4 linked regions of the Arabidopsis thaliana genome follow. The protein of the gene in region 4 interacts with the protein of the main gene of each other region in a pairwise test. Each region holds a gene or a part of one and is shown on either strand. Other genes may lie near its edges.

Region 1 (6,483 bases), on a different chromosome or scaffold from region 4:
TAACATTTTTGCAAATCATATTCTCGACTATGGAAGAATTATTTTTTTCCAACGACCATGAAAGTGGTCTGTAATTTGAAAGATTGTTGTATAATTTTGGGGTAAGAAGAGATAATATTAAAGACATACCGATAAACAAACATATATGAAAGATGTGGAGTATATGTAATATGTTTCGGGGGATAGATATTTTTTGTTTCGTTTGGGTTGCCATTTATTTTACAGCTATTTTATAAAAGTAATCGATTTTTAATGAGGGAGTTGTTTCATCAAATACTATCGACTGTATTTTAGGGGTTACATTTAAGATTATCAAAACTTCGACTTAAATTCAAACGTCTAATATAAAATTTTATGTGAAGTTGTTTAATGGTCCGATTAATAGCGCAAGACGGTAAGAGCTTTGTAACTGTACAAAATAGTGATAAAAATGGTGGTATGGTTGAATATGGTAAAAATGATAAGAGATGAAAAATGGTACGATAAGAAGTCGTTAGACCAAAAAACTAGCTGCATATTGAATTAGTTCGAATGAATAATAGGATTGCTTTTTCTACATAGTTCTGAGGTTACTTCTCTTTCGGTAGTTCGTGGATCCATCGGATCATGTTCGTCATTTGATAAAGTCGTCGGTGAATTTTACGAAATGGTTAGTGGTTATTGATCATTGTTTAACCACAATTTCTAACACTCTCACTTGTACGATTAAAGTTAATGGAATTGTGTTTTTCTTATCCTTTTAAAATTTGAGACAATCTTTCAATAGACCCAGAAAACAAAAGGTGGCGAGAAAAGGTAACTTCGAAACTCCAAGCGCTAAAATAATGTTCGGATAATCATGATTCATGAGATAAGTCACACTAATTACATTAACATAGAAAAAGTTTCTTTAAAACTTCTTGATTAGTTTTAAAGAAGACACTTTAACTAATTTGAGGAATTTAGGGCTTTATCTCATGATGTAATGACATAAAGTCTCTTTATTAAAATTGAATTTTAATTACAAATCATGTCAAAGTTGTTAGCCCGTCCATTGCACTTGTGGCATAGAACTAAACATGTCACATCAAAGTATAAATAGTAATTAATTATGATAAAATACATTTCTAGGGGAATTAATGAGGTTATACCTTACGGACTTAGATTGAAGTCATTATCAAGGCAGTTAATTGTCTACGTACTCACCAATATTTTACTCCACATAGATCTAAACAAAGAAATTAGTTATTACATTATAAATAGCTTAGTGTATGTAAAAGTGTTAATCAGAATAAACATTAGTCAAAAGTTGACGGCAGTGATCGGCAACTAATCCACACCCAACTTTAACTCACAGTGACTCCCACGTTCAAGAGAACACAAATATTATTCTCTCCTTTTTAGTTCCACTGATGTTTTAATTTTCGTTTCTTTCGTTTATATAAAACTATATTCATAACGTATTATTTTTTAGTTAATTTTTATTTCTTAGGTTTTATTATATATTGTAATTGTATAAGTTCTGAAACCAAGAAGTACTAATACATAATAAATATAACTATTTTAGATCCTTGACATAGCTTTTTTCTATAGTATATGTAAAAATAGTCTATATCATCTATTATTTTCGAAAGTTGTAAGTTGTAACATATAAACTTATTAATTTAAGAAAAACAAAAGTTAGAAATTAAATAACGTATGTGAATTGAAATCTCTAAACAAGTAAACATCACTTATTACGAACATATGTAGAAGTATAACTATAATCGAGGTTTGTTAAGTAAGTGAAAATTCAATAACGGAGAAATGTATGACTATAAATCTTTTAAAGTTATAGCGGCTTTAAGTCAAAAGAAATGTATGCATGCGTATGACATTGTACAATGTACACTTCAACTTTTCAAGTCACGAAAATTGATGTCAAATCGACGTGCAATTTGATAAATACCGAATCTGCAAACTCCTTTTTATATTGTATAAACTGAAGATTTCAACATAAAACTTACGCTTATCTTTAAAACATCTCTTAGATTAGATTACTATCAGTTCGTTACTTGGGTTAATTCCATTATTAGTACGAAACCATTTACTTTTTCTTTAAGAGACATCCCATTTGAATGAAATACATTATTTACCAAAGTTACCAAACATTCATAATGGCAAGCCCAAGTAGTAGCACACAGAATTATGGGCCTATGTTAGCCAATATGGGCTTATTTTTTTCTTCATTTTGCAATTATTTTGCGATTTATTAATCCTTTTTTTTTCCTTAAACATCACTGAAATAATTCTCGCCGGTAAAAATAAAACCAGTGACGACGAGCAACGATGAACAACTCCACCAGACTCATCTCCCTCTTCTCTCCTCATCCTCCTCCTCTCTTTCTACTCCGTGGTCTCTACATCAGCCGCATAGCCAATCTCCGCCGTTTCCACCGCCGTGCGTTTCCTCCTTCGTCCGTTGCCTCAACCAATCTATGTTCTTTCCGTCCACTCGTGTCATTGCCGCCGCTTATCCCCACGTTTCCTATAGGACGATTCTACAATCACCAAGTCCGTGTCTCCGCCGCAGATTTTGTTCCTTCTTATCACAACCAGCAGCTACCTGAATGGACAGAGCTACTCCAATCTCTCTCCAAAGCTGGTTACTTCTCAGATTCCGGTTCGATTTCTGGTTTAGAAAGTGAATTCTTTCCCGGTTTTCCTGATGAACTTCTCCGTCCAGCTCTTGCTTGCTTAGCTCTAGCTCGTGAACGACCAGAACTGCTTGAGTAAGTAATCTGCAATTTTTTCTCTTTCTCTTTTTGGATTGATTCTCAATCTGAATATCTGATGATGTTAGTGTTTATTAGAATGCTTTCGAGGAGAGACGTTGAAGTGCTGGTGGAGAATGGAAAGCCATTTTTATTCAAGACAGGTCCAGATTCACTTAAAAGGATGAGCCTTTACCTAAGAAGTGGTCTTCAGGGCATTGGTAAGGTAAGTTCTATCTTCTGGCAAATGCTTAGTCTTTTATTGGTGAATGCTAGGTTATGTCTAAACTTGGTTCAATGGTGATTTGTGCCTCAAAGTTATGATCTTTTGTGTTTTACATTAGTTGATGGATATGGAGAAGGCGAGTACAGTTGATTTGATGAGGCTTATTTTGAGTTATGTTGTGGATGTTGCTTCTTCTGAGGAGAGCAAACAACATAACAAAGAGATTATGGAGTCATCGGTTCGAAGCCTCTTGAGTCAGATAGCGAAGATGAGCTTGCGTCCTCCTGAGTCGAATGTTCATGACACGATGCAAAATCAGTACTCAGATAGAGATGGACAAGGAGTCAGGTCTTTTCAGAATAACGTTGAGATGAAACGTGGTGACTGGATTTGCTCGAGGTATGAATTTGTTGGATTCTCAGTAGCTTTTTGGTGTAAATCTCCTATGGCCTTTTGGTTACCATTCTTCTATGGAAAGATATAAGTAGGCCTAGATATAAGGATACCATAAAAAAAAATCTTCTGGATCTGAGCTTGAACAAGTATACTTCTGACTATTACACTAGTATTGTGGTCGAAAGATCTTATTTTTAGAGCTAAGAAGTCAGTATGGTGTAATTGTCTTTGTTTCATCATCTTGTCGTTTAGGGAATCTATATATATGATGTGGGAATTTGTTGAAACAGGTGCAGTGGCATGAACTTTGCGAGAAATGTCAAATGCTTCCAGTGTGATGAAGCAAGACCAAAGAGACAGCTTACTGGTAGTGAATGGGAGTGTCCTCAGTAAGAAACTGATTTTTTCTCTCTGCTACTTTATGACTAATGCGATGAGGAATGATGAGGTTAACCTTTCCTTTCTTTCTTGGTTGTTTCACTTATCAGATGTGATTTCTATAATTACGGGAGGAATGTAGCTTGCTTAAGATGTGACTGCAAGCGACCCAGGGACTCTTCACTCAATTCAGCCAACTCTGATTATTCAAGTGACCCTGAACTTGAGAGAAGACTGGTCGAAAACGAAAAGAAAGCACAGAGGTGGCTTAGTAAAGTAGCACAGGGTGGTTCTGATGCGAACAGTGTTGATACAGATGAAGATTTCCCAGAGATTATGCCTTTGAGGAAAGGAGTGAATAGATATGTTGTTAGCACGAGGAAGCCACCTCTTGAGAGAAGGTTGGCTAATACTGAGAACAGAGTAGCTACAGATGGAAACTCGAAAAGGAGCGACGATAATGCTTTGGGAAGTAAAACAACTAGGAGCTTGAATGAGATTCTTGGTTCTTCATCCTCTTTGACTTCTCGTTCTGATGACAAGAATGTATCTTCCAGAAGGTTTGAATCTTCTCAGGGAATAAACACCGATTTTGTTCCTTTCGTGCCATTACCTTCGGATATGTTTGCCAAGAAACCTAAGGAGGAAACACAGATAGGTCTGATTGACAACATCCAAGTGGATGGTTTCTCAGGCGGCAATCAAAATGTCTATCAAGAGGACAAGTCAGATGCAAATCACTCTGGCAAAGAAACAGATCGCCTTGAAAAGGAAGATCACAAATCAGAGGAACCTGCGAGGTGGTTCAAACGGGTCACCGAACTGCACAATGTTTCAGACTTGGAAAGCGCAATACCGCAAGAGATTTCTCCTGAGAAAATGCCTATGCGAAAAGGAGAGAATCGGTTTGTAGTGAGTAGGAAGAAAGACCGTTCACTGACTTCTCCAGCATACAAGAGGCCAGAAGATTCAGACTTTGTCCCCTTTGTCCCTTTCCCACCTGACTACTTCGCCAAAGAGAAACAACCCAAGGAATCAATAGATACTCTTCCAGCTCCGGCGACAGAAAACGTTTCTCAGGTAGTACAACAAGAACCAAGAGAACCTTCAATCAACAAATCTGATACAGTGGCAGTGAAGATCAGAAATGGAAAGAGCTTGGAGGGTTCGTTAGTGAAGGAGTCAGACTTGTTGGACATGTCAGAGGAAGCAAAAGCAGAGAGATGGTTTAAGAGAGTGGCTGAGATTAAGAACATATCAGAGCTGAGTGAGATCCCAGACGAAGATTTCCCGTCGATAATGCCGATGAGGAAAGGAGTGAATAGGTTTGTTGTCAGCAAGAGGAAAACTCCCTTGGAACGGCGTTTAACTTCTCAACGACACCAGAGAAATCCTCATATCACCAACTCTGATCCCACTGGTAAAGGAGATAAATGACCATGTAGCATAACATTTTTTCGGAGTAATATTACCATACGATTTTTGTATTTCTTTAATTCAACTTCTATATACACAATGTGTAGAAACTTTATTCTCCATCTTTACCGACGGCATCCTTTAGAAGTCGCTGTGTTTCTTCTCTCCTCCTGCACACAACAAAATCAACATTGCTATAATACATCAAACGTTACCACAACAAGCTTTTGAAGAATCTTGGATGGATGATACTGATACCATTAATATAATAAAGTTAATGCACACAAACATCTTAATGTCCTTCACAGCTTGCTTTCGCTGTTGAATTTGAAGTTCCATAATGTGAATAAGCTTTGGTCTCGCCTTGATTAAAAGAAACAACACAAATATATATACAGACAGAATGTTGTGAATATAAACGTAACACAAAGTGATGAAACATGTTGTGAATGAAAAGAGATCGTTACTTGGTGAGGCAGTAAAGAATTGAGAAAGTAATGCAAAATATTAAAGATTGAAGATATATCAGCAAGCTCCAAAAGGAGAGTTATAAGCAAAACCGAAAACACGTCGTTAGAGGCAAGATTTAGAACGAGAGGCAAGATTTAGAACGACGTCGTTTATGATATCTGCGGGTAAATCAGGCTCCCCTATTTTGGGCCTGGGAAAGCCTTCGGGCCTTTTTACTTAATAGTAACATATCCGTAAGATTTTCCGACCAAAAGAAAAAAAACATATAACATAATTGTAGTGCATGCATCTAAACTTTGGTAATAAATTCGAAACTTCTCTCATGCGACGTGGCTTAACCACTCATCTCAATTTCTCCCACGGTCTAGATTCTCTCCGCTTCTATGTCTTTCCCGAGAAAATTCGGGACAGCGATTCACGCCGCTCTATCTTTTATCGTCTTCTTTTTCTTGGACCTCCTCGACGCGATTCTCTGTGTCGTTTACGAGTTCGTCGATGAGATTTTGGAAGAAAACTCAACAGGTTGTTACTGCACGGCGGCGGCTCCTCAAAGTCAAACCACCGACGAAAATGAGTTGTCGTCGGAGACTTTATTCGGGAGGAGAAACATTTTCCGGGGAATGTGGTTTCTGGGATTCGCGAGAGAATTCAAATCCAAGCTTTCCCGGAAACTGAGAAAATCTAAGATTCATCAAGAGTCAGTGAATCGATGGTCAGATTGTGGATGCAAATCTTGCAAGTCATGGACTAAGAACGAAGATGGGAATCTTCACGTCGTGGTCAAAGATTCTACTTCTCGAGGTTAATAGATTAATTATAACATTTTAATATTCTATTAAATCTTTGCATTATGATTAGTTAATA
Region 2 (4,169 bases), on a different chromosome or scaffold from region 4:
ATTAATAAGAATCAAATCTACCAATTATTTTCAATAACAATAGATTTTAAGATAGAATTTTAAATCTTTAGTTCAATAATACTAGATTTCATTAAAGTTTTTCAAATCCATAATCGAACAACATAGAATTTATAAATTTTACACAAATCACTTAAAATATTAGATTGAATACATTCTTATAAAAATCAAATCCATAAATTATTTTTAATAACAGTGAATTTAAAGGTAGATTTTTAAATTATTATTTTAATAACACTAGATTTCATTAGAATTTTCAAAATCCATAATTAAATAACATATACTTGTAAAATTTACGAAAGTCACTTTAAATACTAGATTGAATATACCTCTTTTAAATCAAAAACGATGAATGGATGGTAAATATACGGTTCACCCATACCCATTATAAACCGTCTTTTTCACACCTTCCATTCAACAAGAACTAATTGTTGCGTATTTGACCGATCGAAGCAAGAAGGAACGTTCTGTTTATTTTCTTTTTTGTTAAAAAAAAATCAGTATTTAAATCGTGATTTGTAGAAGAAGTATTATCATAATGCCTCTACACAAATCTGTAAGAATTGAGAGAGATAATTTATTTTAAAGAATCCCAAAGAAGCTTCAAAGACTCAAAAAGGAAAGTAACCAAGAAAAAGTCAATGGAGATGGACTCAACTACTACGATCAAACCGGAGACCCTATCCACCGTGAGTTCCTCACCTCCGGAGAAAATCCATCTCCGGCCAATGACTCTTTCCGACGTCGACGATTTCATGGTTTGGGCCACTGACTCAAACGTCACACGCTTTTGCACGTGGGAGCCTTACACTAGCCGAGAAGCCGCGATCGCGTACTTAAACGACGCTCTTTTGCCACACCCTTGGCTTAGAGCTATATGCTTAGATAACGACCGTCCGATTGGCTCGATCTCCGTAACGCCAGTCGATGAGATCAGAGGAGAGATTGGTTATGTCCTCGGAAGCAAGTATTGGGGGAAAGGGATCGCCACTGAAGCGGTGAGGCTTGTGGCGGGGGAGATATTCAAGGAGAAGCCAGAGATGCAGAGGCTTGAGGCACTTGTTGACGTTGACAATGTTGGATCTCAAAAGGTTCTTGAAAAAGTTGGGTTTGTGAAAGAAGGTGTGATGAGGAAATTTATGTATCTTAAAGGAAATGTTAGAGATATGGTCATGTTTAGTTTCTTGCCTTCTGATTCGTTGCACTGATCTGATTTGAATTAACAAATATCAAATATATATATTAAGTTTGTTTGATGTCGAAATTTATATTTTGCTTAGTTTGTAAAAATCACATGTATAATTTGATGTGATGCTCTATCTTTCTTCTTCTTATGTAATTGTTAGTTGTAACCTTATATATTAACTATTTCATACAAAAGTTATTTTTTATAATTTGAGAGTAATGTATTTACTATTTACCATGTTCACTTCACCAAATAAAACAAAGCTTCACTATCTCAGAAAAAATGTAAGTTTATATTGAAAATTAAAAGTACAAAATGAAACATGATATATATATATATATTTTCTTTTTGAATCTAAACATGAAATATTTTATACAATAAAAAGATAGTGTGATAGCTAGTTTTACAGCGATAGATGAATGGAATTCTGATAACATTCGATTAATTAATCTTTAGCTAAATTACTTAATCATACAACATGTTGAGTGACTTGATTCTTGAGTTGATTTTGACAGTATATAACAAACGATTACGATCATTTGCACCACAAATATTAACAGTATTAAAATATTTAATCCATTTAGAATAACTTGAGAAACAGTTAAATCCTTTTTGGGAATCAGACCACACACGATTTGACACGTGGCATTGTGGGCATCCAACTGGAAGCAACACATTAAGTTCCGAAACCAGAACAATACTTTGTTTGGCAACCAAGTAAGTGTCGAAAGTCCAAGGTCAAATATAGACAATTATCCACTCACACGATGACACCTCATCTTATGTCGTATATTTAACACTAAATACACTTATCTATAGCAAATGGTAATATTTAGTGTTTTTTTAGTCAAAAGCAATAAGGGAGAATCTCAAAGTTTTTCAAGATCGCGATGTGTATAAAGACATCGCTTAGACGTAGTGATATGATATCTAAAACAATCACTAATCCTAAATGGAGATGGACTCAGAAGAAACTAATCCAATAATGAGCTCTTCGCCTCCGGGAAGAATATCTCTCCGGCCGATGACTCTTTCCGACGTCGATGACTACATGGTTTGGGCCACAGATCCTAAAGTGGCTCGATTTTGCACTTGGGAGCCTTGCACGAGCCGAGACGAAGCTATCAAATACATAACCGATCGTGTCCTGACACACCCTTGGCTCCGAGCCATCTGCTTAGAAGACGACCGTCCAATCGGCTACATCTTGATCATGGCGGTTGATAACATCAGAAAAGAGATTGGTTATGTCCTAGCGAGAAAGTATTGGGGAAAAGGGTTTGCCACGGAAGCAGTGAGGCTAGTGACCGCGGAGGTATTCGAGGAATTTCCAGAGATTGAAAGGCTTGAGGCACTTGTTGATGTGGACAATGTTGGATCTCAAAGGGTTCTTGAAAAAGTTGGGTTTACTAGAGAAGGTGTGATGAGGAAGTTTATATGTATCAAGGGAAGTGTAAGAGACACTGTTATGTTTAGTTTCTTGTCTACTGATACTTTGAAGTAATTAATCAACAAAAAGATTAATTAGCAATTCTACATATATATGTTGGATTTAGTGTATGATTCATATACGTAATACATGATGTAAACACTCTGTTTTTCATTTGCCAAAAAAATCTATAAATCCTACATTGTAAATTACGAAACAATTAAAGTCAGTGCATGAGACAGAAGTGAGGTTAGAGGGATCATCCGATTACAAATTGATAGGTAGAGAAGAGTTTTAAAAATCAAAGGTTAATAGAAGCGTATAAACGAATAATGTAGAATGTAAATAAAACAATGGGATTCGTCCTGTATCCATAAAAAGGTTCACATACTCATCCAACAAGCAAAAGAAAAAAAAAGCAAAACATCCCATGGTCCTTGGGATGAGAACTTAAGAGCCAGACCAGCTTTGTTAAAATAACACAGGATATTAAAAGTATTTGTAAAATTTGAATTATGAATTTATGTAATTCAACAAATTTACTATAAGTAGTACGTAATTAATTTATTATGATTTCTCCATATTTCTTAAATTAAAGTAAACAATCTTTAGATTCCCCTGAGTTTCTTCTTCTTGTTGGAAAAATGAAGTTTACTCGTGCGTAATTCGTTAAGAGAGAAGCCCATGTGGCCCAAATTTAGGGCCCGTGTAGTGGAGGTTTCGTTATAAAGAATCTAGTGAGAAGTGAAGTGAGCAATTTCTTTTCTTTTTTTTTTGTTATGAAGAAAATAATCTGGAAATAAGAAATTACAAGAAAAAATGGATTTTTTTGGGTAAAAAAAAGAAGAAGAAATCAATCATCACTGTGCTTGTGTGAGGCTAATTTCGTTTCCCACTTTCAAAGGACTAAATATATTACTAATACAATTTATTTTAACTTCTGTGGTAGAACTAAAATATATTTGGCCTATAGATACACATGCATATCAAAAAAAGTTATTTTTAGGTTATGTGAATAAAGACTCCACTCCGTTCAATATGTCTGACCAGTCAGTCCATATAGGATATACGCATATAGTATGAAACAATTTATTAGTATTTGAAATCACTATGTAAGTATGTGATATTTTCTGTTAACCAACAAAAAAATTAGATTCATTTACTAACTAGCTCACTAAACATATGTTTTTAGGAATTAAAAATAATCTTAGCTCCAAAATTCGATAAGACTATATAGATATTTTACCTTTAAATAGGTACAAATTTGGAATGAACCGCAACATTTATCGAATTAGATAAAATATCAGAATGTCCACTCCTGTAAATCATAGCTGATGGACTTTAATTTTAATAGGATTGGAGTAATAGTTAAAGGTATTTAAGTAAATCATTTCGATATACACTTCTTGTTCTGGACCACATATTCCATTCCATTTTTATTTATTTGTTAATGTTAGGTAAAAATAGGGGTTTTCATGAAAAAAAAAATAGAGCTGATCATTGTCTCACTTCACATTGTACAAGAATGTTTTTATT
Region 3 (5,536 bases), on a different chromosome or scaffold from region 4:
TAGATTCTCTTCATTCCTTTTCTTTGCTAACTAAGAGATACGCTCTTCTACATTCTAGGTGTTTCAACTCGCCTTTGCAGCATAGTTTATTGATATGTTTCTTAAACTAGAGATACAGTAGTTCTAAGATTCAACATTATTTTCGATTTTGGGAAATTCTCCTCGACAAAATATCTAATTTTTGGCTGATAGGAACTACACTGCCTTGATTCCACCTCTGCTTAAAGAAATTTCATTATTGTTTTGTTTTGATGCTTGAGTTCCAGATCACTTTTATTAATCAACAAAACTGCTTTTCTTGTTTGTGTTCGGCAGGGTCTTGTTGACATGCTTGATAGTTTTCTTGCTGTACATAATAATCGCATCTTTCTGCGGAGGAATCACTTTACCATCATGCAGATCTTAAAATCTGGCGGCCTTATCTAAGGTATACTGAAACGGACCACTGTTTTTGTAAATCAACTCAGTCGCATCATTTCGATTTGAAGCCTTGGTTTTGTCATGAAAATGACTGTGAGTTTGAAGTTACATGTCATGGTCCTCCTTGCTTATGTAACTCTTGTAAATGTCAAAATCAAAATGATACAGAGGTTCATTGAACTCTTGCCTTGTCTTTTAGATTTAGTCACGTGAGTGAGTTTGTTCTCTGTATTTCCAAAACTTTATCCGCTGTGTCTTTATAATTTTTGCATTTGCAATGTACATCACATATTCGTTATTTTTGTTGTTAAAATTACTTCAGTTTTCATCTTTGTTTAATAACATTTCTGATTCACAAATATCTGTTTCCATCATTTCTGTCTATGTTTTCATTAACTAAATCATATTAGTTGCTACTACCTTTTTAGCAAGTTTGTCATAACTTGTTACGACTTTATATATGTCATCGATACAGTTTAATCCTGCCTGTACTGATGAACACAGTATGAATATAACCAGAATGCTTAGCACTTGTAGTTGGAAATAAACTCTTACATCCAAAAAATTACGAGAAACAATAGAGTGAAATAAACAGCTACATAGTTGTCTTAGCTGTATTGATAGTCGGGCACTACACATGCATCGGAACAAATGTATCCAGTATATGGATCACAAAGCTTTAGAATGATAGGAGCTCTGCATCTGGAGTGACATTTTGCACAGAAGGGGCGAGAACTATAGCTGTTAAGAACCACTTCAACTCTAACATTATTGTAGTTGATGATGCGTCCTGGCATGAGACGTGAAAAGTCTCCAAGCACACATTCAATATGTGCAGTAACCACACATTTAGAGCAAGTGTAGAACCACTTACTTGGATCTGTTTCCGCCTCGCAAATATCACACCAATATTTTCCGGTTGCATTTTCGCCATAGCATAGGGAAAGAGGATGATTGTCGCAGCTGTGCTTTACCGTTTTTGGTAAATCAGTACAGTGTAAATCCAGATCAAAGTCACAAGTGTCACAGGAAAGCAGATAACCATCTATCTCTTTATAACATGCATCACAACAGTGATCTTTCTTATGTTCGTAATATAGAGGATGTCTGTGACCATCATGAATGACCGGTTCAGAACGCGAACCACAACGTACATCTAGAACCCACCAATCAGAAACGTACCTGAAACCAGTAGACTTCGTTCTACAAGCATAGCAGCGAAAGACATCGTAGAATCTAAAATCTTTGCTATGGAATGTACGAGGTGGTCTGGACCATAGTGTGAATGGTTTTGTGTGGAATACATGTCGTTTCTTTTTTGGATGATTAGCGCATTTCTCATGGAGAATGAAACGACATTCCTCACAGTTGTAGATCGGATCGGAATAGATAGGAAGGACGCATGCTTCACAACGTGAGCCTTCGTCACGATTGATATTGTCCTTGTTGAGTCTTAGATTATGTTCTTCATGACTGAAATGCTTGATCAAGTTATCACCCACCACTTTGAACGGCACAATATCTTCGTCATCATCATCTGGTGTCCCTTCGAGTTCTACCCCATCCCATACGTCTTTTCTTGTTGCACATAGTGAATGAGCTGCATAGTTCGGGCAACGAGGGCATAAATAAGCCCCATGGTATTGACTTATATCTTTGCGACAAATACCGCATCTCGAGTACCCAACACCGAGATGATGGGTGAAAGAGATGCGATGATCGTGACGGTTGATGTTTATGACACGTGGTAAGTCAATACAAGTTCTATGGACAACAAACCCGCATTGAACACACATGTAAGGACTTCGATCACCTTGCATCCCACAAGCATTACATTCAAATGAGATGAGTCTTGATAAGAGGACAAGTCGATGCTCGTGCGTCTTATGATGCTCGATAGCAAGTGGTGGTGGATCTTTTGTACAGAATCGACATACGCTGAAGTTGCATATCGAGCAGCGATAAAGCACTTTGTCTGGTCGTTCTCCACATAAAAGACATGTCTCTTCAGCATCACTTGTTAGTGATTCATATTCAAGTAACTTGAGAGAATGTTGAGGATGAGAAGGATGATTCACCTCTTGGGAAAGATTGACACACTCGACATGAAAGTGGACTTCACATTCAAGACATGCATAAGAACATCCACCATTATAGCCCTTGCAAATTCCGCATCTGCGCCTACCCGGCTTTGCGGGTTCTTTCAAGAAGATAACTGGATGATGATGAGACTTTGGATGTTCGATAGAAACCGGCAATGGATTTATCCCACAAGTGAGATCCACGATGAAGTCACATTTTGATGAACAACGATAACCAAAAGCGAAAAAAGTCTTGCCACATAGATTACATTTACATGGGTTCCTTAGAGAATTGTGGAGTTTAAGAGTGTGTTGAGGATGAGAAGGATGGTTGATAATCTCCGGTGGAGCCTCTGCGCACTCTTTGTGGAAGAACAAACTAGTAGAGGAAGGCTCGTTGCAACGGTAGCCGCCATAGATGGGACCTTTTATATTGCAACCTTTACAAGAATCATTAACAAAACGAGTCGAAATGGTCAAAGGATATTTGTGAGTTGGTAGTATTTTGGGTGGTAGATCCATTTTGTGATTCAAATGCGGTTTGTTTTCTGGAGATCTCAAGATAATACTACATCATATGAATGCATCTTTGTAACCCCAATATAACAAAGACACGTAATGTGTGAACACCTTAACGATTCTTGTCTCCAATGAATCATGTGCAATCGATCCTGTTTTCCACGAGATGATTATAATATATAGTTGAATTATTTCATATTCCTAACTGTTTACAACCTGCACACATTAAATTATCTTATCATCGTTATAGCTACCTATGAATATAATAGTATGAAAATACCCAATAAATTAATTTCCTAAACTCAACATCTAACGTGTTAACAACAGCTAAGATATATAATTATATTGAATCATTTCTGCAATTTCATATTCTCTATCGTGACACTCGGAGTCTTGAGATCGCTAGATTTCTTTGAATACTATGATTGGTAAAGTCGTGTGTAAAAAAGTTAGACCGAGACAAAACGAGGCACAGGAAGAACAATAACAGTTGGGCTTTTTCCAGATAAGGCTTCACCTTTTAACAATCAAATTCTACATATTGGGCCTACGAAGAGGTTCATAAGATTTGAATAGACAATTAGAAAAACAGCAATTATGTGACAAATAGTGTTTTATTCTAATTTTGGATGACTATCGGTGAAATTTTAATTTTAATCATCATATAACAAAACAAAATTCCAAAACTTCAAATTCTAAAATCAAAATTTTTAAAATACCATACAATTTCTTTTTTTTTAAACAATTGTATGTTTTGTATTGACAAAATTAGTTTTATTGATTAGCAAAAAATTCGTTTAAGACCTTAAATTTGTCCTTTGTTAATTGTTATACCAAATTTTAGCGTAAAGACAATCTCTTGAAGGAGAAAAGGAAAACAATCTCTCTTTCTGTGACCTTTCGCAACTTGTCAAAGCACCACGACCTTCTCTCTACGGAGTTGAGATCAATCCCCCCAAATCTCGGTGTGGTTCCTCTAGGGTTTTTGATCGGAATCGGAATCGATAATCTAACCGGCATGAGGCCAATCCTATTGCCGGATCCACCCAGTCTATCTACCGGCGTCCCTGATATTTTCGAACAAGGCGGTTCCCATAACGTCGTCAGACGCGCCGTCGTCATCGGAAACGGTTTCCCTGGCTCCGAGAATCAGTGTATCGGTCTCGTTCGTGCGCTCGGCTTATCTGATAATCACCTTCTCTACGTGAGTTTCTTTGATCTAGGCTCTAGACGTTTTTAGCATCTGCTTAGTGCTTTCATTTCGTCGACTATAAACCATTGATACTATACTCGAAATTCTCGTCAGTTTTTGCTAGGCGCATGATGTAGTTGAGAGATTGATGATTGCTTTTGGATAGGAGTTTCTTTTACTTTGTTGTTTCGTCGTGTGTTCTAGGTTTTTAGCTTGTTAGGTCTCAGTCTAAGTAGGAGTGGAAATTTCATATTGTTTAGTACTTCTTTAGAGTGTATGAATGTTCAGAGAAGGAGGAACTATTTGAATTTTTATGGAAACAATGAATTGGTAAATATGTAAATTTGCCAATATCTCAAGTTCTGCAAATTTAGGGTAAACAGTGGAAGGTTCTTGGGGTGTCATAACTACCTATATTGTCAGTTTTATTTATAATTTTTTTTGGTAAATCTTAAAGAGAATTGAATCATTGGTGGAGCATGATGCTGGTGCAATTACTGAATTTCGTTTACAAGGAACACTGGTAGTGGAGTCTTTAATGCTTCTTTTAGATCAGTTTGGATGCATATAAGGCTGTTTTGCTGTGTCTGGTTTCTCTAGCTTCTTGATCATTCATAGACTCGACATTCACGTAAATTTACATTTAACATGATTTTTGGTTAGCTGAGATTATCTCTTTTTCTTTATGCAAGCGAGTGACAAGGCCTAAAGGAGGACTAAATGAGTGGCTGCACTGGCTCCCAGTTGGTTTTCACAAGAAGTTGGACTTTATCCTCAGGCATATTTACCTCTACTCCAGATTGATGCTTGGATCCAAACAAAGTAAATACATCTCATCTGTACCCTCAGAGAATGGTGGTAATGTAGGTTTGGCCTCTATTCTAGAGGCTGATGTGAAGGGCATTGTAAATTTGGCCCGTCAGACCTATGAAAAGTATGTAATCTTTCTGAAATTTCTTTGTGGTGCTTATTCATTTAAACACTATTGCGTTTCTATGAGTTGCAAGTAGTACTCAAGCGAAATCGAAGCCTGAGTGTATGCCTTTCCATCATCACGAATTTCTGTTTGTCCATGGAATGGGAATGGGTATCTAAGCGACTTTATTTCCTTTTCGCAGGGATGGCCCGTTGATCGTGATTGCATGTGGAAGAGATACTATTTCTATTGCTAGCTCGATAAGACGTTTGGCTTCTGAAAACGTCTTCGTTGTTCAGGTCTATTATAAAATTTAACCTGTTTGTTATGTTAGTTATTAAGGCACAGTAGACTAAGCTCTGAAATACAATTCGAGACAAACTTTACTTAGTATCTTTGGGAAGAATT
Region 4 (4,705 bases):
AATTCTTTCCCAGGCCTGACTTCTTTTACTTCTATCTGGGTCTCCATAAACACAAGAAACACAAAAATTAACAGCTCCAAACTGTACTTGAGCATCCATCAGGTTCTTATCTACAAACTTCAGATCCACCTGAACACTACTCTTCCAAAGCAAAGCTAAACCTCCACATTTTCCAACCGGCTCAACTGTATATACTTGGTCATATTCCAGCCAGCTTTGAATATCAACCAAATCATCTCTTGAATGCATCGTTTCCATCAAGAAAAGCAACTCATGGAAGTGTTTTTTACGCAGCTCCTTGATCACGTAGCTAGCTGCTCACATGAGGGCTGAGTTTTTGACCTCATACGGTATATATGAGATATTCGACCAAAAATTAAAATCGTACAAGAAAGAATTTTATCCCTCAATTAAGACCAATAGAGTCGAAACTTTTTCAAAAACTAAGCCCGCGAAAGACATAAATATATTCGGAAAACTAAGTCCAAAATTATAAGCGAACTATAACCAAAATATATAACCTAACTTTTACTTCGTAGCGCAACAACTTCTTAGTTTGTACTATAGAAAACATTGATGATTGCATCAAGTCATTTTAGAATGTCTAGCAAATTTTGGTGAGAATTTGATGAAAAGAATTTTGGTAAGTAATGAGATTTCAAAATAGCTTATTTGGATGCTGATTTCAGTAATGAGTTTTGCATAATTCTACCGAAAACTGCTCTAAATAATTAATTGACCACATTGAACTACGAATCAACAGTATAAGACTCAGTTGAAACTCACTAGTCACTACTACTTTATGGTGTGGATACAACCAATTTTAAGCTCCATTTTCATAGTGGCATTTGTCCACTAATGTTTTTACTAAAATTATTTGATTGTTCAACTTCTTGTTACCCAAGGAAAAAAGTTTTTACAAAATCTTAAAAATACCAACCAGCAACATAGAAACGATGGAACAATCATTTGTGAAATGTGATTGGGAAAGCTAATGAATTGAAGTGGGCACAAAGGCCCACAGACAAGTTGGGATGGAAATGGAACAAAAGTGGGCAGATGTCATAATCACTCAACGAATTAAAGACAAAAAAAGATAAAATATGGAGACACCATTATCTCTTTGTCTTTTGCCACGATCCCAAGATTGATTTTGCCCTGGCTTGAATTGTTCCACACACACAAACCCCTCTATGAAGACTCATCCGATGGTAAAACAACGGAAAATATCATTGGTCACGTACGTTTTATAGCTGCTAGCAACAACAACAATGACCAACGATATTTTTCTTTTTCGTTTTGTAGTTGTTAGCAATTAATGGCAACGATTAACTTTGGTTTGTTTTACAGTCGTTGGTTACTCGGTTCACTCTAGTAGTTTTGGTAACAAAGTTTAGTGATTATGACAAAATTTAGCGACTAGTAATAAAAAAAATTGATTACTAACAACGTTTTCATAGAACAAGAAAAACATAACACCTTATTTTTCACCGCACGAGTGATTTGGTAACATACCACACAGAGACAGTATCGGAAAAAAGTTTTTTTTAACAAAAACTTTGCAAAAAAAAGAAAAGTTAGATAGAAATGAGACAAAGAAAGCAGAGACTTTAAAATCACATGTGATATATCAGAAAAAACACAGCAAGAAATGTCCACATCCAAAAGTAAAGGTAAAGCCGGGGGAATGAATGTATGGGCTCCATGCAACATTATCAAATTCGTTGCTCTCTATTCGTTTTTTCCTACTATATAAGTGGCCGAGTTCAATTATTAAATGTTCATGAAAATATCCAAATTAAATGAAGAACTCTGACGAGTGCTATAAATAATTCAACAATATTATGTTTGTTTTTCTAACTATAAAACATACAATTTGTTTATCTGCTTTCTTTTTTCTTATATACAGATTTCAATTTTCACACATCTAATTCAAATCTTTTCAACAAATCATGACTATTCAACAACTTCGAAATGTTTTCAAAACTTATTGATGCGACAAAGTTTATCTATAGCACATCACAATGAACGTATAATAAACACTACTTTCGAAGACGTGCATACCAACGCCTATACGGCTACATCTTTACGAACACTGTAATAAAGTAATTCAAAATATTTCTTGGTTCTATTTCTATATATATTTAAGAAAAAGCAGAGTACTTTACTTGATTAATTTAGAAAAAATAATACTACTATTTGGCTAAGTGCCCCTAAAAAAATCGTTGAACTATAGAGAAAAAAACAGAGGTCTAAAAGTCTAACTGGCAGACACTTTTATTCTCCCATGTGTTTCACCAGACACCATCTCCATCTCTCCAACATTTGCGTTTCCACATTTGTTTAAACATAACTCTCTCTCTCTCTCTCTCTCTCTCTCTCTCTCAGTACCTCTTATTCTTATGCTCTTCTTCACCAATCCTATCTCTTCTATCTGTCTTTATTTTCTCTACATGTGAATTGACCCATTTCTGGTAAACACATAGAGTACCACTTTTCTTATTTAGATTCTTCTTCCTCTTCATAGCTTCCAAGTCAACTACTTCAGCTTCTGTCGGCTGTCTCTTCCCAGATCTCGTAAGCACAGTACCCTCCAAACTTCTTATCTCTCTCTGTCTCTCTCTCTCTCTGATCTTCGATTCTTGTTTATATTATCCTTACTACTTCCTTGGATTAAAACTTTAAAGCTTCATTTAGATTGGTCTTCTTTATGCTACGGACTTGCTGATTCTTGTCCGAATTCAAGAACTTTGTTTTTAGGTCTTGAACCAAGTTGTTAACTCTGTATAAGTCTTTACTTGCTTCTTTGCTCAATATCTTAGATTTATAGATTCGACAAGTTTTGTTGTTCTGCTTTGACTTAATTATGATTTCAGGTTAAGACCAAAACTTGGAATAAATGACGGAATCTGATGATGCCTCACGAGAAACACCAGCCAGCAGAGGAGGAGAAGCCTCGTCAAATCAAGATCTGTCCAAACCAGAATCAAACCATGTTTCACTCGATCTCAAGCTCAACGATACTTTCAACGATGACACAAAGAGCACAAAGTGTGAAGCAAACCCAAGAGTCTTCTCTTGCAACTACTGCAGACGCAAGTTCTATAGCTCTCAAGCTCTTGGAGGTCACCAGAACGCACACAAGCGAGAAAGAACAATGGCCAAACGAGCAATGCACATGGGAAGAATGTTTGGTCACCATCACAGGCCTTACACATACACTTCTTCTTCCCTTGGGATGCAAGCTCACTCCGGTTTACTTCATCACACCTTATCTCAGCCTCAGCCTCTTGTTTCTAGGTTTCATCATCAAGGGTATTTTGGTAACACCGTGCCGTTGTTCTTTGACTATGACGATGGTGGTAGCGACTTCTTCTGGCCCGGCAGCTTCCGTCAGGTGGTTGAGGAAGCTGAGGCTCCGGTGGTTGTGGTGGCTAGTACTGAGTCAGGCCTTGATTTGAACTCGGTTGCGGCAAATGGAGGTGTAGATAATAATAGCTCAAAGCCTGATCTTACCTTAAGACTCTAAAAGGATTAAGGAGATTATATCTTTATTGTTATTTTTCTATTGTTAGACATACAGAAGATAAGTTGGAGACAGTTGATAGAAATTGATGAAAAACTTTGTTGTTATATTAAATGAGGTTGTTCATTACATTACGGTTTCATTCATACCATTATACGAGCTCCCACACCAGTTAAATCATTAACTATTTTCATCTAGGAAGTGAAAAACATTAGTATGTTCGGTGGAAAAATTTTGTTTCGTTCATGAAAGATTGAATCATTTGTATGTCTTCTCGCGGAAACTGAGCCAGACATGCCAAAACGTCGACCAAAGTAGATTTAATATTTGGACACCTGAACATACTAACCGATTTAAGCCATCTTATTTATCATGCATATCAAATTATGTCTTAACCAGAATCAACTTTAAGACATTGATGTCTCCATTATTTGCAAATTCATTACAAGTTGTTTTCTTTTCTTGCATGTTTGTGTCTTCACTTCCATATATTTATTCCTAAAAACTAAAGTTTTTTTGCTAAGAATTCCTAAACTAAAGTTGCTTACTCTGAAGTTCCAAATAAATAAATAAAACTCTGAAGTTCTAATGAATTTTGTTGCCATATATGCGGTAAATTCTTGTGATTCATTTTTTCTCATATGATCTATATTTTTTTTTTGGGGGCAAAATTAATCTGTATATATTGTTTACATAACCTCACTAATCAAAGCTTATTTGTTTACATGGTCAAAATATGAATAAATTTTAAAACTTTGACTAGACAACCAATATTAAAATTGAGCATCTTTTATTTTATAAGTTCTTTTTTTTTTTGTGCAAAATTTTTATAAGTTCTTTATACGAATAAATCAAAGAAAACTACATATAGTAAAAGTACGACCAACTCAAATAATTGTAGGATGTGTGATAAAGTACATATAGCGTATCTAGTTTCTTTTTTGAAGTACAGAGTATAATCTATTAACCAAACATTTTTAAAGTAATATATAGCTATGTTCAAAAGAACGAAATAATCCGTAGACCGTGATTGTGCCGAGATTAGTGGGAGACATTCGGACGAAGTTGGCTTTATACTATTACAAAATCATTATTTACGCTACTAAATGCAAGTAATCAACATCAAGTGTATATTTATTTCGTCCTTATACACCCAATTGCTTGTTTAAATATTAATAA

The links.
Region 1: the proteins of ZFP7 (region 4) and VAR3 interact in a two-hybrid assay, tested with the Arabidopsis thaliana proteins (one large-scale study listed by BioGRID).
Region 2: the proteins of ZFP7 (region 4) and AT2G32020 interact in a two-hybrid assay, tested with the Arabidopsis thaliana proteins (one large-scale study listed by BioGRID).
Region 3: the proteins of ZFP7 (region 4) and AT5G22355 interact in a two-hybrid assay, tested with the Arabidopsis thaliana proteins (one large-scale study listed by BioGRID).

The regions. Positions count from the first base shown.
Region 1 is NC_003076.8:5,868,496-5,874,978, reverse strand, and holds VAR3 (zinc finger (Ran-binding) family protein), read left to right. Parts: upstream 1-2,196; 5' UTR 2,197-2,307; coding exon 2,308-2,750; intron 2,751-2,831; coding exon 2,832-2,958; intron 2,959-3,076; coding exon 3,077-3,357; intron 3,358-3,644; coding exon 3,645-3,743; intron 3,744-3,842; coding exon 3,843-5,169; 3' UTR 5,170-5,283; downstream 5,284-6,483. Other genes in the region: AT5G17780 (alpha/beta-Hydrolases superfamily protein), read left to right, coding at 6,003-6,420. UniProt on the Arabidopsis thaliana protein: Probable component of some protein complex required for chloroplast and palisade cell development. Involved in C-to-U editing of chloroplastic RNA. Controls a large number of chloroplastic editing sites.
Region 2 is NC_003071.7:13,629,732-13,633,900, reverse strand, and holds AT2G32020 (Acyl-CoA N-acyltransferases (NAT) superfamily protein), read left to right. Parts: upstream 1-1,971; 5' UTR 1,972-2,156; coding exon 2,157-2,708; 3' UTR 2,709-2,921; downstream 2,922-4,169. Other genes in the region: AT2G32030 (Acyl-CoA N-acyltransferases (NAT) superfamily protein), read left to right, coding at 660-1,226.
Region 3 is NC_003076.8:7,399,249-7,404,784, reverse strand, and holds AT5G22355 (Cysteine/Histidine-rich C1 domain family protein), read right to left. Parts: upstream 3,079-5,536; 5' UTR 3,024-3,078; coding exon 1,029-3,023; 3' UTR 813-1,028; downstream 1-812. Other genes in the region: VAMP714 (vesicle-associated membrane protein 714), read left to right, coding at 316-406; ELM1 (fission ELM1-like protein (DUF1022)), read left to right, coding at 4,039-4,224, 4,905-5,146, 5,331-5,427.
Region 4 is NC_003070.9:8,724,833-8,729,537, reverse strand, and holds ZFP7 (zinc finger protein 7), read left to right. Parts: upstream 1-2,325; 5' UTR 2,326-2,577; intron 2,578-2,876; 5' UTR 2,877-2,899; coding exon 2,900-3,529; 3' UTR 3,530-3,749; downstream 3,750-4,705. UniProt on the Arabidopsis thaliana protein: Acts as a negative regulator of abscisic acid (ABA) signaling during germination and early seedling development.